2 linked regions of the Zea mays genome follow. The protein of the gene in region 1 interacts with the protein of each later gene in a pairwise test. Links are inferred from orthologs where the notes say so. Each region holds a gene or a part of one and is shown on either strand. Other genes may lie near its edges.

Evidence for each region. The genes of interacting proteins can lie anywhere in the genome.
Region 2: the proteins of protein SUPPRESSOR OF PHYA-105 1 (region 1) and uncharacterized protein LOC100277533 interact in a two-hybrid assay, tested with the Arabidopsis thaliana proteins (4 studies listed by BioGRID, with this or other methods). The link is inferred for Zea mays from reciprocal best matches to the Arabidopsis thaliana genes SPA1 and CRY2.

What each region holds. Positions count from the first base shown.
Region 1 is NC_050103.1:73,508,246-73,517,218, forward strand, and holds the start of protein SUPPRESSOR OF PHYA-105 1, read right to left. Parts: upstream 5,213-8,973; 5' UTR 4,802-5,212; coding exon 3,158-4,801; intron 2,398-3,157; coding exon 2,240-2,397; intron 1,935-2,239; coding exon 1,088-1,934; intron 59-1,087; coding exon 1-58. UniProt on the Arabidopsis thaliana protein: Controls normal photoperiodic flowering and regulates circadian rhythms. Required for suppression of photomorphogenesis in dark-grown seedlings and for normal elongation growth of adult plants.
Region 2 is NC_050104.1:50,229,804-50,237,311, forward strand, and holds the end of uncharacterized protein LOC100277533, read right to left. Parts: intron 4,660-7,508; coding exon 4,015-4,659; intron 3,653-4,014; coding exon 3,587-3,652; 3' UTR 3,310-3,586; downstream 1-3,309.

The sequences.
Region 1 (8,973 bases):
CCCTTTTGCGGTGCTCTGTAAACTGTGTGAATCCTTGACCAGAGCCAGCATCCCATAGCTGCATATGATAATAATAATGAAGCCAAATGGTTAAAAATAAAAGGAAACATGGCAATAATACAAAGCCCAACTCCCAGAGCATAAAGCTTATAGCATAGAGGCTTTTGTTCTTTGATGCAAAGTATCAAGAAAACAGCAAAGAGGTATCCAAACCATAATAAAATTATAAATGAGTTGAAAAGGTAGCAGCTCAAAAAATAAACATGTCGCTATTGAGAATTGTTGAGTGCTAAAAAGGCTAAATGATAAGGATTGCTGCTTTTCACAAGATGTAACTAGAAGATCCAAGCAATCTAGATATGAAATGGTGTTATTGGCCTGCCTACATAACTAACTACCCTTGTTTTCCTCAACTCCTTAGGCCTTATTTGGCTGAACTCTAATCCACCCCAAACAAGCCCTTAAACTTTTCAGTGTAACATGTGCATCGGACTCAACAAAAGAAAATGCAATCTCAAACTGTCAAACAATGACAAGCCTAAAGCTGACCAATTTTTTTTTGAACAAACGCAGGAAAGCTGCGCGTCATTATATTAATAAGAAAAAACATAGGAGAGACAAGACTTGTCATCCCCTAATACAAAGGCCCATAAGCCAAGACCCCCTTCACAGTACTTGTTTTAACCATCAATATACTTGATTAGTTGTGCTCCCTCTCAGATAATAATACTAATCATAAAGAAGGCATCAAAGCAGATGAAATTGGCACAGGAGACAGAATGCTTCACCGAAGCTAAAACTATATGTGAAGTGTAAATCAGTATACAGCTTATGGAACACAGATCCGTGCCCGCAACATAAACCAATCCAATAAGAATGACAATATCCAGTCAACATATTTTGGTGCATTACAAAAGCAGCAGCACCAAATTATATAAGATCAAGTCCATCTGAACCGGATAAATGTTGCCATCAGAATAAAATAAATATAGAAAAACTACAAGCAAGGGGTGAAAAATATGCCACCTTGTTCATGGATGATAAGATGAATGAGTATTTTGAAAATTACAAACAGTTAGATACATACCTGAACAGTACCATCATAGTCTGTTGATGCCAGGTAGTTCTTTATATAGCTGTTCCAACAGACACAGCTCAGCTTGGACTTGCTAGGCATTTCTACCAGTGGGTAATGAATATCAACACGATCATTTAAGAGTGCATCAAATTCAAATATTTTTATTTTCTTTGAAACTCCAGCAGCAGCAAAATATTCTTCATCCCTATCAAAACTCAATGAACAGATGACATTTGGAGAGCTAAGTACATCTGCATTCTTCAAAATTCCTCGTACTTCAAACCTATTGTGCCGGGCATATTTGCATAAACCATCAAAAAAGCATCCAAGACGGTCTGTTTTCTCTCCCTTTGCATCAGAATCACTGTGACGCTGATGGAAATTTTCACGGACCCTCAAAGCCTCGTTATCTGGACGTTTGATTACATTAGTTTCACAGGTGTCCACAGAGGACCTCATGGAGTAGTAAGCATTTTCAAGCTGCACCAAATTCCTCATTACCCTCTCCTCATATATGCTCGACTTGCACGATGCCGGTAGCAAACCTGACAGCAATGCACCCTGTAGGGCACTCACAGAAGCTCCTGGCAAACTAGAACTTGGCAGTACATCCATATCCTCTAAACTCAATCTCATTCCTGCTGAGTGTCTTCTGTCAATCTCTGTGATATCTGTTTGTAAGCTTCCAAGCTCTGCCGATAACTTGGCAGCCTGCATCTCCTTTTCTTCTTTCAATTGAGAAAGGAAGTTAAGTAGCAAACTAGATTCAGTGTCATCTTCACTGATGGAAACTGGTGACTTATCTAACAAGGACAAATCCCGACCCTCATTTATCAAGTCACATCCAAGAATCTCTCTGAAAAAACAGTATGCTGGCTATTAGGCACGAACAGCAATATAATTATTATTTCCAGTCTTTAAACAGCAAAGAAACATCAAGTAGAAGGGCACGAAAGGGATAACATTAACCATATCTAACATATTTCCACATGCAATGAATGGCAGAAGTAATCCTTATACAAAGAGTTAACTAAACTTAACTGTAACATACAAAATTCACCAAAGCGAAGAAGATTGGCCTTTACTTATATCAAAGTAATGTACTAATCAGTAAACATTTTTCTTATTATGTCTCCAAATGAGAGAGATAAATAAACTGACTTTGCTTTTGGTCTTGAACAAGGATCTGGATGCAGTAACCAAAGGCAGAAGCCAGCCTCCTTGGGACTTTCTGAAAGAAAATTTGGAGGAAGGATGCGTTGGCGAAGATTTGACATTGCAGCACAGTGCATCTCCCATGTCTCAGAACAGCAAAAGAGCTGACAAAAATATTAGGTTAATTAAATACCTTGCCTGCCAGACTTAAGATAGAATCTTACATTTCAGTCAGAAAAAAAAATAGTCTACAGAATCACACAGAAAGTAGAGAAGTCCAACTGCAAGTGTGGTTTCAATTAGTAAGCAATTAAATCTGTGCAAGCATGGTGCTAGTGGAACAACTGCAATTCTCATATATAATAACAAGAGACTACATAAGAATTGGATATAGTAAGAACAAGGGCATTAGTCAGCATCCACATGTAACCAAGGCAAGCGTAGACCTGTAATTCCATGGTCTTGAACCTCAATAGCAATTGGAAACCACAACCAGATTCACTATAAGGTGCATGTGTCATGCAAATATGCTGCATAGTGAAGTGCTTTCAGCATTCCAAAAGCTGATGCACCAAAAAAACAGAATGCCTATCATATTCTTTCATTGGCAATGGAGATCATTGTGAAAGGACCATAAATATCTCAAAATTAATGTGATTATCTGTGTCATTTTTTATTTTCCTGATATGTTAATCTTTCGTGTTTAAAATGTGGTGGGACGTGGGAAACACCATGTTATGCTTATGCATGTCAGAAGTCCAACAGCTCAGAGATTTTAGGTAAACCACTTGAATTTGCTAGTAAATGATAGTAATATACCACCCCGCAAAACTACAAATTGCAATTGCACAATGTCACATCACTTCTACAAAATCCAATTATGGATACTGCTGCAAAAAAATGGCACTTAAGTACTGGATATACCTCAAATAGAAGAACCCCAAGGCTATAGATGTTTGATGGGGGTGTGCCTTTAAATTGACTGAGCTCCTCTGGGCTTTTGTACCAGCTTTCCTCAATATTCCTCAATTCAAATGCTGGTTGTTGGGTTCCAGAACTAGATACATGCTGAGCACTGGACATATTGCTGCCATATGATTCGACGAACTTAAAATGTTCTCTGGTAGTGTAACTAAAATTTTCTTGCCTTGAAATACCTGGATCGTTATCTTCAATTTGATTGTCGCGTATTTTGTCAGTCAAAAATGTATTTGCCAGCCGCCTGACAGCAACTAAGCCTTGCTCACCAACCTTTTGATGCTTCAGCATCAAATTTCCATGGCCATTAGAGTCTTGGTAATCAATTCTATGGCCAAAAGCTCTTTTTCTACTCACAAGATCTTCTCTAGCAAACTCTTGTTTGATTGATGTTGGCAAATCTTGTGTGGTATAAGAACCGATATATTTAACTTGATTTGAAGATAGGATCGTAAAATATGATGGTCGCAAATGTTGTAAAGTAAAACCCTGTGCATGACAGTTATCCACAAGATCAAGGATCTGCTTAAACAAATGCAATTTCTCAAACTTGGACATCGTTTGCCGCCCAGGCTTAATCAGTTCCCTCAGGCTAGTTCCCTCAGAGTGGGATTTTGAAACATCTCCACTAGTACTGAAAAGCATGTCCACTCTGGCCACAGAATCATGAATTGAGGTAGGAATTGTCGGGATCTTGTCCAGAGGGTCTCTGGGTCTTGCATTAGCTTGCACTCGGATCTCCTCCCGTGCACGTTGGTATGCAACCCCTTTACCTTTTGATTTGCTTTTAAGCGGTGACCCTAGAACCCCAGATGGGGGTGCCACAGTCTTACTTCTCATCTGATCAAGAATCCTATTCGAGAAGCTGCTTACTTTAAGAGCGTTGTCCTGATTAGACCAAGGGGACAAGAGAATCTGCTGGCTGTGAAATGGCGTCTTGAACTCATTATTCACATATCCGACACGACTCGTAGGTGCCTCATTGCCAGACACATCGTTGTTCCTTGAGATGATATTGTTGGCAAGGCTCGTCGCCAGATTTTCCCTGCTAGAAGCATCACCAGCCCTCGAGCTTGCAATGTCGCCATAGCTCAGTGCGGCGTTTTCCCTGCTGGCCAAATAGCTGGTTCTCCGGGCCATCCGTGTGAAGTTACCCCACAGGCCCTTAATAACAGCAGGCCTATCCCCACCGCTCGTGCTCCCACCAGCAGAGGCTTCGGGCTGGGCAGCATCAGCGCTAATGCAGTTCTTCAATGTGAGCTCCTCCACCCTCTCTTCCGCGCCGTGGTCCACGCCGCGCTGCGTCACGCTGTCCGGCCTGGACTCGGAGTTGGACAGGCCGACGCTGGCGAGGCCCCTCGCGCCGTCCGAGCTGCCCGCGAACCCGCCCGGCGAGGTGAAGAAGGAGAAGTGCTCGGACCAGTCCATGTCCCGCGGAAGCGGCGTGGCCGGCATCTCCAGCGCCTCGCTGCCGGACGGCAGCGGCGGCGGCTGCTGCGCCGCCGCCGCGGGCTGCCCACTCTCCTTGGCGCCCTTGATCTGCACATCCTCGCCGCCGCCGCCCACCTCCGCCGCCGCCGCCCCTTCCATCGCACCAAACCTACCCTGCGCAAACCGCGCGGCGCCCGCGCAATAAGGTCACGGCGCACGGGCCCAGTCGCGCAAAAGCCGAAAACCAGCCCAGGACCGATTCAGTTCAGCGGCGGGGAGTCATGCGCTCGTACCTCGCGGCGGGCGCGCGCGCGCGGGCGCAGCAGGCCAGCAGAAGCGAGCCGCCCGCGCGGCGCATCCTCGCGCGCAGCGCCGCCACGAGCCCCCCCTCCCGCGACCGATTGGCTGCGGTTCCGGGGCGCGGGTCAGGATGATTCGCCCGATCCAAAGGGCGACACTCGCCGCGGCGAGCAGCGGCACGGGAATTTCCCGAAACGGAAAGTCGACTAGGCTCTCTCTCTCTCTCTCTCTCTCTCTCTCTCTCTCTCTCTCTCTCTCTCTCTCTCTCTCTCTCTCTCTCTCTCTCTCTCTCTCTCTCTCTCTCTCTCTCTCTCTCTCTCTCTCTCTCTCTCTCTCTCTCTCTCTCTCTCTCTCTCTCTCTCTCTCTCTCTCTCTCTCTCTCTCTCTCTCTCTCTCTCTCTCTCTCTCTCTCTCTCTCTCTCTCTCTCTCTCTCTCTCTCTCTCTCTCTCTCTCTCTCTCTCTCTCTCTCTCTCTCTCTCTCTCTCTCTCTCTCTCTCTCTCTCTCTCTCTCTCTCTCTCTCTCTCTCTCTCTCTCTCTCTCTCTCTCTCTCTCTCTCTCTCTCTCTCTCTCTCTCTCTCTCTCTCTCTCTCTCTCTCTCTCTCTCTCTCTCTCTCTCTCTCTCTCTCTCTCTCTCTCTCTCTCTCTCTCTCTCTCTCTCTCTCTCTCTCTCTCTCTCTCTCTCTCTCTCTCTCTCTCTCTCTCTCTCTCTCTCTCTCTCTCTCTCTCTCTCTCTCTCTCTCTCTCTCTCTCTCTCTCTCTCTCTCTCTCTCTCTCTCTCTCTCTCTCTCTCTCTCTCTCTCTCTCTCTCTCTCTCTCTCTCTCTCTCTCTCTCTCTCTCTCTCTCTCTCTCTCTCTCTCTCTCTCTCTCCGTCCGACCCGCCTCTGCGCTACCCCTTGCGAGTTGCGACTTGCGGGCGAGCGTGGCGTGCTGGATGGAAGGGAAGGGAGGGAAGCGGTGGAAGGAAGGGCGAGGAGGAAGTCGAGTAGTCGGCTCGGCAGTCGCTCATGGGTGGGGAAACGAGCTCTGCTTTTTGCTTTCTTTCGCGCGTGGCAGCCTGTTGCAACCCTGGCCGCTTGTTTCGGCCAGGAATCCTGTAGCTCGGTGCGGGTTCTGTGTCTGTGGTGCCGGGGCAACCAGCCACCACCCACTCGTGGAAAGGCAATATATAATCCGTTTAACTTTTTAAAATTAAGTTTGATACGAAAATTAAAAATTGAAAGCTATATTTAAAATATATAGTAGGCTAGACGATATCACTAACAAAATTAATAATAGTACTAAAATGGAAATTTCAAAATCATACTTAAAGTATATCATATGTTTCGGCCAGGAATCCTGTAGCTCGGTGCGGGTTCTGTGTCTGTGGTGCCGGGGCAACCAGCCACCACCCACTCGTGGAAAGGCAATATATAATCTGTTTAACTTTTTAAAATTAAGTTTGATACGAAAATTAAAAATTGAAAGCTATATTTAAAATATATAGTAGGCTAGACGATATCACTAACAAAATTAATAATAGTACTAAAATGGAAATTTCAAAATCATACTTAAAGTATATCATATGTTGAACGATAAACGTGAATATCATCATAGCCTTTTAGTCCAAATAAGTTGTGGTAGACTAGAATTAAAACACAACAAGATATCACTAAAATGAGAAAGAGAGAAAGGCGAGAGGAAAAGTTTTGAGAGCACTAAAAGAAAAATAGCCTAATTATGGTTCGGATACGTGGATAACTTCTTTCCAATTATTTCTAACCAAACACTGTTGTAATATTAGAGAAACAAGTGACATGCTTCCTTTATATTTAAATAAATTAAATATTCTAATTCCGAATAAAACAAGCATATAACTCGGATAAATGCCATATGTAATTATTGCAGCAATGAATAGTAGCAATTCTAGAACATGTAAACATGTAAAATAGCTGCTCATGTCCATTTCATAATTAAACATGGCTTGCAGATGAAGAAGGCAGATTAAACAAATAAACATGATTGTTTATCTTAAAATATTGCTCTCAAAATAGCTGGTTGCTGTAATAAACAGCCCTCCAACGCTAAAAGGTGAAAAGAGATCCTCGACTAACGTGACAGTCCTATCTTACCAAATCAGGGTTTTAGATCTGATGTAATAAGCCTAATAATCAAGTATAAATGCTGATAGTAAGGAGCTGTGTACTAAATAAAATAACTGAATTTAACATAGGTTAACAGCCTCAACAAAGAGAGATTTAATTAGGCACAAATAATATCAATGCTGAAAATGATAATACACTAAAACCCAGACTCTCACGTTGTCAAACTACACCGCTATCATCATCGAGCACACAAATCCGTCCACAACAGTGCAATCACACCCAAGTATTTAATACTAGCAGATTGCACAAAATTAAACAGTAAAAAAAGTGAGACAACGAACAACTCACAGCACGTAGATTGTCTACGTGGGAAGACCAGCTCAGCGAACACAAGGTTCTGTCCCAGAAAACCAATTTCGGCGCCCACGTCCGGACCTGCACGGCGGGAGGTTGATGGAGATACTAGAGCCGCTGCCGGAGCCGAGGGAGACTGTCACACCCGGTTCCAGGGGGTAGAACCGAGCGCATACCATATGTGTGCCAGGATCCATTTCCACACATATGTTGACGTCACAAGTGTAATATATCAAAAGACAATGCAATAAAGGCGTAAAGAGAGTATAATACTTTATTACATCATCTGAAATACTGTATCTTGAACAAGTATCACATCAAAGTAAAGCGGAAATAAACAACTGGGCAATCTTCCACAGGAAGTTGACCGGCGCATCGTTAGACTTAGAATTCCTCGTCGATAAATTCTCCATCAAAGTCTCCAGCATCACCCTCTGATCAAAATATTAGCAAGGGTGAGCTCACTTATGGTCGGGGCTCAGCAAGTGGGGGAAAAATTAATGCAGGTATAACAAGGTGAGGCTAAGGTTGAGCAGTAAGCATTTTAGTTGGTCAACATTTTATTATCAACACATGTCTTACTAATAAGAGTGAATCCCAAATATCCAAATTAAACAAAGGAATATGAATATAACAAAAACACCTAAGTGGAACCACTTAAGCAAATTATTGGCAGATCATCGGATCTCAATTTATGTCCATCTTTAAGTTCAATTATCATGTGAGGAGTCCAGGTCGCTCATAACCGGGAGCACGGCTGATATATCAGTTTTACACTCTGCAGAGGTGGTACAACTTTACCCACAAGCCATGTATCCCATCTAGCCCGGGTTGATCGGACCCTTAGACACTGCCGAGGTGAATGGCTAGGGATCCATTATGAGGTTTTCACAAAATACACTTAATACGAAGCAACCCGCTAAGGTTTCTAAGACGATGGTGGTGGCCCCCTGGGTGAAGTACCTTAGCCAAGAATACGACCTCATGTTAACGTGGGCTGCCAGCACCTACCGCTCCCCCTCTTGCCCATCTTTCAGGTAAGGTTGCTAGGCACTAAGCATATAGAGCTATTTACCAAAGCCAGAGCCATGATAGCACTCGTGGTTGCACTGTTATCCTGGGTGGTCACTCCATGTTCCAATTAGTTTGAAATAATATCGTTTTAACCATCGGGTTAAAGTCATAATTGCCAATTAAATCTTTGGAACATTAAAACCAATTAATGAGTGACATTAAGAAATCATTAAGTTGAGCGGTAGCACAAATTCTGCAACGCTTAATTATTTCCCCAGGTTAAACAAGGAATACAGGTAGTAAATCTAGGAAATCCTTAATTAGGTAAACCCATCAAGTTATGCAATATATCAAAAGTAAACGTTGTTATATGCAATGAATAGGTACAAACAGAATATGCAGAGGGAGAATCCACTTGCCTTGCTCAACAGCGTCTTGCGGGTCGTCCCCGAACGAGTTCGGATTCTCTACCACACAGTCCGCTTCTATTATAGTCGCACATCGCACATACAAAAATAAAGTATACACCCATAAATAAACATGCACCATTACATAATCATAAACCATTTCATGCACATT
Region 2 (7,508 bases), on another chromosome or scaffold:
GACTACTCCTCTACCTCTAGACCATGAAGCTGTTTGGCTGAGGGGTTTGGTTTGCCAAAAACACTAGCTGAGTCTAAAAACAAGTTTTAGCTTTTCCGGTTATAACATATCCATTTACGCTAGGTTTGCTCCTTTCTAAGCATACATGGTAACAATCATTTAGTGCAATCAACATGTTATCTCAAGAAACCTCATTTCACTTCTTACTCGGTGCACTACAAGGGGTCAAGCAGTCTCATTAGCTGCGAGAAGCATACGATTTGAATCGAGTTTTAACCTTGCAAGGTAAACCTAAACACACGACATGTAGGAGCACTCCGTCCCCACACATGTTGTAACACTACAAAACCATCAACTAAAAAAATGCATTTATATTATTAATGGTAAATATGGTAATGAATTTTTTTCTTTCAAGTGTTTGATTTTATTTGCATTTAGAGTAATTTTATTTGATCATATTTGATTTATGGATGTTTAGTAGAATTTCTTTTATATTGAAAATCCAATTAATTAATACAGAAATATTGGTCCAAAATAAATATTTTAGTTATAAATAATTTTGGTATAATTATTATGATTTTTGAATTATTTAAAAATATATTTATTTATATTTTTAAGTAGAAAAGAAAAGAAAAGAAAAAAGGAAAACCATAAACCCTAGCCGGCCAAACTGGCCCACTAAGGCCCAGCCGCGCGCCCCCATTTCCCCCTCCCCTCTCTCTCACCGATAAGCTGGGCCCACCCGCGGCCCCTATCCCTCCTCTCTCGCTACCCGAGCTCCCTCTCTCTCTCTCTCACGCTCTCCTCTCTCTCCGCGCTCGCGCTCTGCTCTTCGGACTGTGCCGCCACTCGCCGGAGCTCCACCGCGCCGCGCCCCATCGTCCGCACCCGACCGGACCGTTCGCGCCCGTCCCCGACCACTCGACCGAGCCCCCTGCTCCTCCCCTGCCCAGCCGAGCCCCTCCCCTGCTCGCGGACCCCCCCCCCCCTGCGCGTGAGCACAAGCTCAAGGTAGAAGAACACCAGTTTTGCATTTTGGCCCTCCAATTTTCTATAAATCATTTTTGTATTTTTTTCTGCAATACAAACGTATGTGAAAGTAGTCCAAAAACCTTACGTGCTACCCCTAAAGTATATGTGTAATCTTGAACTAGGCCCTCCAACAATAGTTTGGACAGGTGTATTATTTTATATTTCAAAAAAAAATAATGTCACTATTCACTAATTTGGTGATTTACATACTAGAAACATTTACGATTAACTTTGCTTTAGCACATGGAACGATATTTGATAGTAGTGATTTAAGTATAATTTTATTGATAAAATAAAGTGGAATAAATAATAGGCCACATATTTTTGGTCAGATTAAAAATATAGGTTTTACTAGTAATGATAAATATATTCATAAGTATAGCACTTAATTACTTAGAATTAGTAAAATATCTATTTATGTCATAATAACCATGATTATGTTACAAAGTCTAATTAGTAATCTACATTAATTCTTAGAATATTAATGTTAGGTGATTTATAAATAAACATTTTTAGCCATACATATAACTTTTATTTAGAAAGGAAAGGATAAAGCCCAAAGGACTATTATTAAGTAATAAAGAAAATAATTATTTTCCGTAAAGTTTGTTAAGGCATTTTTATCTATATCATACTAGATAAAACTAGTGTCATAGTCACCTACTCATATTTTCACCGATGATAACTCGAAATGGAAGATATAGTGGACTAATAAATATTTACGTTGTAGACATATTTATGAGTACAATTGTGTGATGTATGAATGTGTATGTAATGGTGAATGATTACCCATGTAATGGTGTATGTTTATTTATTTGGCGTACATATTCTTTTTTATGTACGATACGCAAATCGATGCTAGAAGTTGACTATGAGCTAGACGAACCAAACTCGTTCGAGGATGATCCATAGGACACTTTCGTGCAAGGCAAGTGGATACTCCCTCTGCATTTCTATTTGTACTGAAATAATGCATACAATAATGTTTACTTTTGGATATATATTGCATAATTTGATGGGATTTGCCTAAATAATAATTTCCTAGAATTGCCAACCCTATTCCCTGAATTACCCTAGGATAAATGCTATGCTTAGCAATTTTTGCTACTGCTCAACTTGATAAATATGATGTCACTCTTTTAATGATACTATGTTCTAAAAATGAAGTTTTATTATGATGTTAACCCAATGGTTAAACAAGAACATTTTTGTTAAATGGAACATGGAGTGACCACCCAGGATAACAGTGCAACCACGAGTGCTATAATGGCTCTGACTTTGGTAATTAGCTCTATAGACTTAGTACTTAGCAACCATACCTGAAAGATGGGCAAGAGGGGGTGGCAGTGGTTTGGTGGCAACTCATGTTAACATGGGTGGTAGTCTTGGCTAAGTTATCTCACCAGAGGGCCATCAATACTGACGTGGAAACCTTAGCGGGTGGCTTTGTACTAAGGATATTTTGTGAAAGCCTCATAATGGATCCCTAGCCATTCACCTCGGTAGTGTTTATGGGTCCGATCAAACCAGGCTAGATGGGATACATGGCTTGTGGTAAAGTTGTAGCACTTCTGCAGAGTGTAAAATTGATATGTCAGCCGTGCTCACGGTTAAGAGCAACCTGGACCCTCACATGATAATTGAACTTAAAGATGGAAAATAAATCGTGATCTAAGCATCTACCAGTGGTTTGCTTAAGTGATTTCACTTAAGTGTTATTGATATAATCTTATACCTTTGATTAATTGGGATATTTGGGATACACACTTATTAGTAAGACATGTGTTGCTAATAAAATATTGACCAACTAAAATGTTTACCGCTTATCCATAGGGATCAGGATGATACAATTTTATAAGTTTAGGAACATAGAGATACACTTTGTAAGTTTAGTGACCAGGATGATACAACGCTACAAATTTAGGAACCACTAGTATATTTTACTCTTGTTTTTCATTGCAAATGTGATGTGTGATCCCATTATCCTTTTTTTAATCGAGCGGTTAAATGCCGTGGTATTAAGTTTGGGCTCTACATTTTACGCTACAAAATATAAGAATTAGATTGTATTAAGCTCTATTTATATTTATTATTGAACTAAAATTGATTAAGAGCTTAAACGAGTCATGAAGAAACCATTTGAATCGCCCTTAGACCTTGTTCGGTTATTTCTATCCCATGTAGATTGAATGAGATTGAAAAAAAATTATAAAACATTTTGATTTATTTGATATTTAAATCTACTCAATCTTACCCAATCCATGAATACGGATTGATAGCAAAACCAACCAGCGCTAATAGTGTCGTAACGTTGATGAGTCATTTACACCAGGCATTAGGCTGTTCAGCAGCGACAGCAAACTATGGCCTGTCCGTGAGCGATGTTTTTTCACCAAACAAAAATTGCCTTCTATCGGAATAAGGATAGGCCGTGTAAAACTAATTATAATTCACAGAACAGCTTTTGCATGATCACTACAAACGCACCAGCTAAATTACATGTGACGGTAAATATTTCTCATTGAAGATTTGCAACATCTTCAATGCGCTAATGCTAAGCAGCTTTCTTGGATGGCCTAGAGATGCTCGTACCACTATCTTCACTGTCATTATCTTCAACCTGTAAGGAGTTATTCAGATGTCTATAATAAGAATAGAATAAATATACACTGGCGGTACTTAAACTTATAGTGTTGTATCATCTCAGTACCTAAACTCCCAAAGTACACATCTAAGATCTTTAAACTTGTTATGTTGTATCATCCCAGTCTTTAAACTCTCAACATACACATTTCTAGTCCATATACTTTTATATTTTTTGGTTGTGTTATCTAGGTCTCTAAATTCGTTTTGTCTTTTTATGTGATTTATACAATACTTAATGTAGTTCTATATATGTGTCTTCATTTATCATCATCTGTTAAATATAGATATAAAAAATTAAGAGCTAAAACGAATACTATTTTGGAATGGAGGGAGTACCTTACTAGTGCCATCTCTGTCTGCTGTCTTCTGGAAGTAGCCTGAATACAGAACAGAACTAGGTTCATTATGATGAATCCGTGATTCCATGACTAATGAGGATGAACATGAGGGAACATTGAACGCACTATCACTGCTAGATCTTTTCCTTGTCACTTTCAAGTTAGCAGTAGAGCATGTGTCATCCATGTTTGAGTCATTCATCATATCATCTCGAATAATCTGTTTGTACAGGGCCTTCACTTCAGTAGGCTGCGACTTTTCGTCCTTGCCATTAGTAGACAACACCCTGTGCTCCATGGATGAAGTGCTTGGTGATAATTTCTTGTTCAAAACCACCTTTGGGATATCAAAATTCCTGATATTATTCAGATTGTCGTCAACAACTTCACCATCTAGTTCAGCAAGTTTTGCAGCTGTGTCCAATTGCCACATTGTGGAGATGGCGTCATCTAAACATTCCCGCGCCATATGAAGTTCTACTATGGGCTTTGGGTAGTTAAAGCCCAGCTCAACTCCAGCAACTTGTAATATAGAGTTTGGCGCAGCCCATGGACTATGGATCCATTCTGTTGGCATTCTAGCAAGTTCAGGAATCCAAGTTCTTACATATTCACCGTCCGGATCGTACTTTTGACCCTGAACCTACTTTCACATACAACAAAATGCAAGTCAGAACCTCTTTTTTTATAAATAAATTGGTCCTCCAGAACAAAGAGTTTACCAATAATAAAACTGGCACTCCAGTCACAAAAAACATGACGTAGGACAACTTTTTGTCAAACCATAAAAAATACAAACATCAATAATAATTTATTACTTAGTATAGAAACAGGTAAGTTATATATCTAGAATTGTATTCATAATGATTTGCAATCATCTTAATTTCAAGGATCTTAGCAATATATTCTATAAACTAGTGGTCAAAGATAAGCATTAAAGACTATGCAAAGCCAAAGGTAGGAAGTATTTTAGACTGGAGGGAGTTGGTGACTGTAAAAAAAATATGTGGACGACAAAATGGAAAAAATGTAGCCATATCAATCTCACACATGTCCGAGGGGCAACCCATCCTGTCAGATTAATAACCTACAAGAAGCAATATATTTAATTTAAGGCGACCAAGGTAATTACGCTTTTCACTAAAAAATACAAAGTGGACAGCGCCAATTGTTTTCCCTTTTAAGAATTAGGCAGCTAGGATGAAAACCCCTGTCTACTAATAAATACAACAGACGAGGCTAACCTGCAACTGCCTTGATTTAGCATTAACTACCAATTACACTTCTTTTAGAATTCATCAAGCTCTGCAGAAAATAGTTATGCTGTTTCTATTGAGCATCCTTTCGTTAACAAATGAACAATATTGAGTAAGAATCTATAGTGTCAGCATGTTTTCTCAGAAAAAGAGTAGTGCCAGCAATCATCACACAAGGTAAATCTATGAATTATGTCATAACTGAAGTTCCTGATAAACTTGTGTAATCCTACAGTTTGTGACAACTTAGTGTCAACCTGTAGCTTAGTGTCGAGTCTTATGTTCAGAGTTAGTGTTGGCCTGGCTTCCAGGCATAAGGGTAGTTATTAGTTAGTGGGTCAGTTGCCTCATTTGTGAGCTATAGTTTCTAGGAGCCACTACATGCAGCTGTTATTTACTTGAGCATGACTCTTTCTTGTAAACATTTCAGTTATAAATAACAGGCAGCTAAACACAAAAGCTGCATCTTTGCAGCGCTAAACTGTCAGGGCCTAAGGAGGCCCATAGAGGGGCTGCGGTAGCAACAACCATGGGCCCTCCAAGGGAGATTAGATAAGGATAGTTAGAGATAAGATTAGAAGATTAGTTGAGATTATTTAGGAGATTAGTTGAGATTATCTAGGAAGGTTATCAGTTAGTTTGTTGAGAGTTTTTAGGAGAGTTTTAAGGAGATAAGGATCCCTAGCTAGATAGGGGCGGCCAGCTGGCCTATTTATGTAATCAATGGATGAGAAATAAAGTAGGCAAGAATTAGAAGGGAGAAACCCTCATCTTGCTCGGCCGTGGGCAGAGGCCCCCGGCCGACGTTCCTGCCCATCGATACCCTTCTCCAGTCCCTCATCGATCTAGCGGCCATAACATCTGATATCGGCTAGCTTGGGTTTCGATCTGATCCCATGGCTTCTGCTGCCAATTTCGCGGCGTCATCCTGGCAACCGGCGTCCCCATCTCCATGGACCGCGTCGTATGTCACCTTCGTCACGCCGTCCTGGCAACCAACGTCCCCATCTCCATGGGCTGTGCCGTATGCCACCTTCGTCACACCATCCTGGCAACCGGTGTCCCCATCTCCATGGGCAGCATCGCCTGCCAATTTTGTCACCACATCCTGGACGCCGGCGTGCCCATCTCCAGGGACAACGCCAAATTTCGTCACATCATCTTCGTTGACGGCGTCTCCGTCCCCATGGGTGACGCCACTAGGGGCAGCCACGGCTCAGCAATCATCAGCTTCATCGATGGGAGACTTGTGGACCAACATAAGGGCTGATCTAACAAAGATGCAAGCCACGCTCCAGAAGGTTGAGTAAGGGCTGCTGCAAATCAAGGTAGCAGTGCAACATGAGCAGCACCAGCTGGTGTTGTCCGCACAGCTCCAGACGTCGGCGGCTGTGGGCATACAAGCTGCTGCTCGTGGCTTCCTTGCACGACGGAGAGTGCGGGAGATGCGCCGACAGATGCTCGAGGCAGCCTTGGTGACGGTTGACCTCGGCACACAGGGGCGTGACCTCGCCCTATCGGACGGCCGTCAGCAACGACTCCGGGCCGCTATCTCCAAGTGCGAGCATGGTATGTGTCCCGCGGGCGACGAACTTCAACTCTACGGCAGCGACGGTAAGGAAGGCACTCCCCTCGTCATCGGCAAGGGCGCACTATTTAGCGCCACCACATTCCGCTATCGGCCGCCACGAGGGCGCCTCCGCTGGTTATTGTTGCGACCTATTCCAGGTGCCCGTCCATGTGCTCCCCTTTCGTCTAGATGGCGTCCATGGGATCCAGGTGGCTGCACACGTGCAAGTCCAATGCGCGGAGGGTGTCCGCCTTATCTTATGGCGTAAAAAAAACAGATTCGGAATAATAAGATAAGCCGAGATGTAAAAGGTTTGTCTTCTAGGTGTCTGGTTTTGGGTCAAGTAGACTCGGTCTTTGAGCACCCGTCATGCTGCAGCTCGAGGACGAGCTGCTTGTCCAGGAGGGGTGTAGTGTCAGGGCCTAAGGAGGCCCATGGAGGGGCTGCGGTAGCAACAACCATGGGCCCTCCAAGGGAGATTAGATAAGGATAGTTAGAGATAAGATTAGAAAATTAGTTGAGATTATTTAGGAGATTAGTTGAGATTATCTAGGAAGGTTATCAGTTAGTTTGTTGAGAGTTTTTAGGAGAGTTTTAAGGAGATAAGGATCCCTAGCTAGATAGGGGCGGCCAGCTGGCCTATTTATGTAATCAATGGATGAGAAA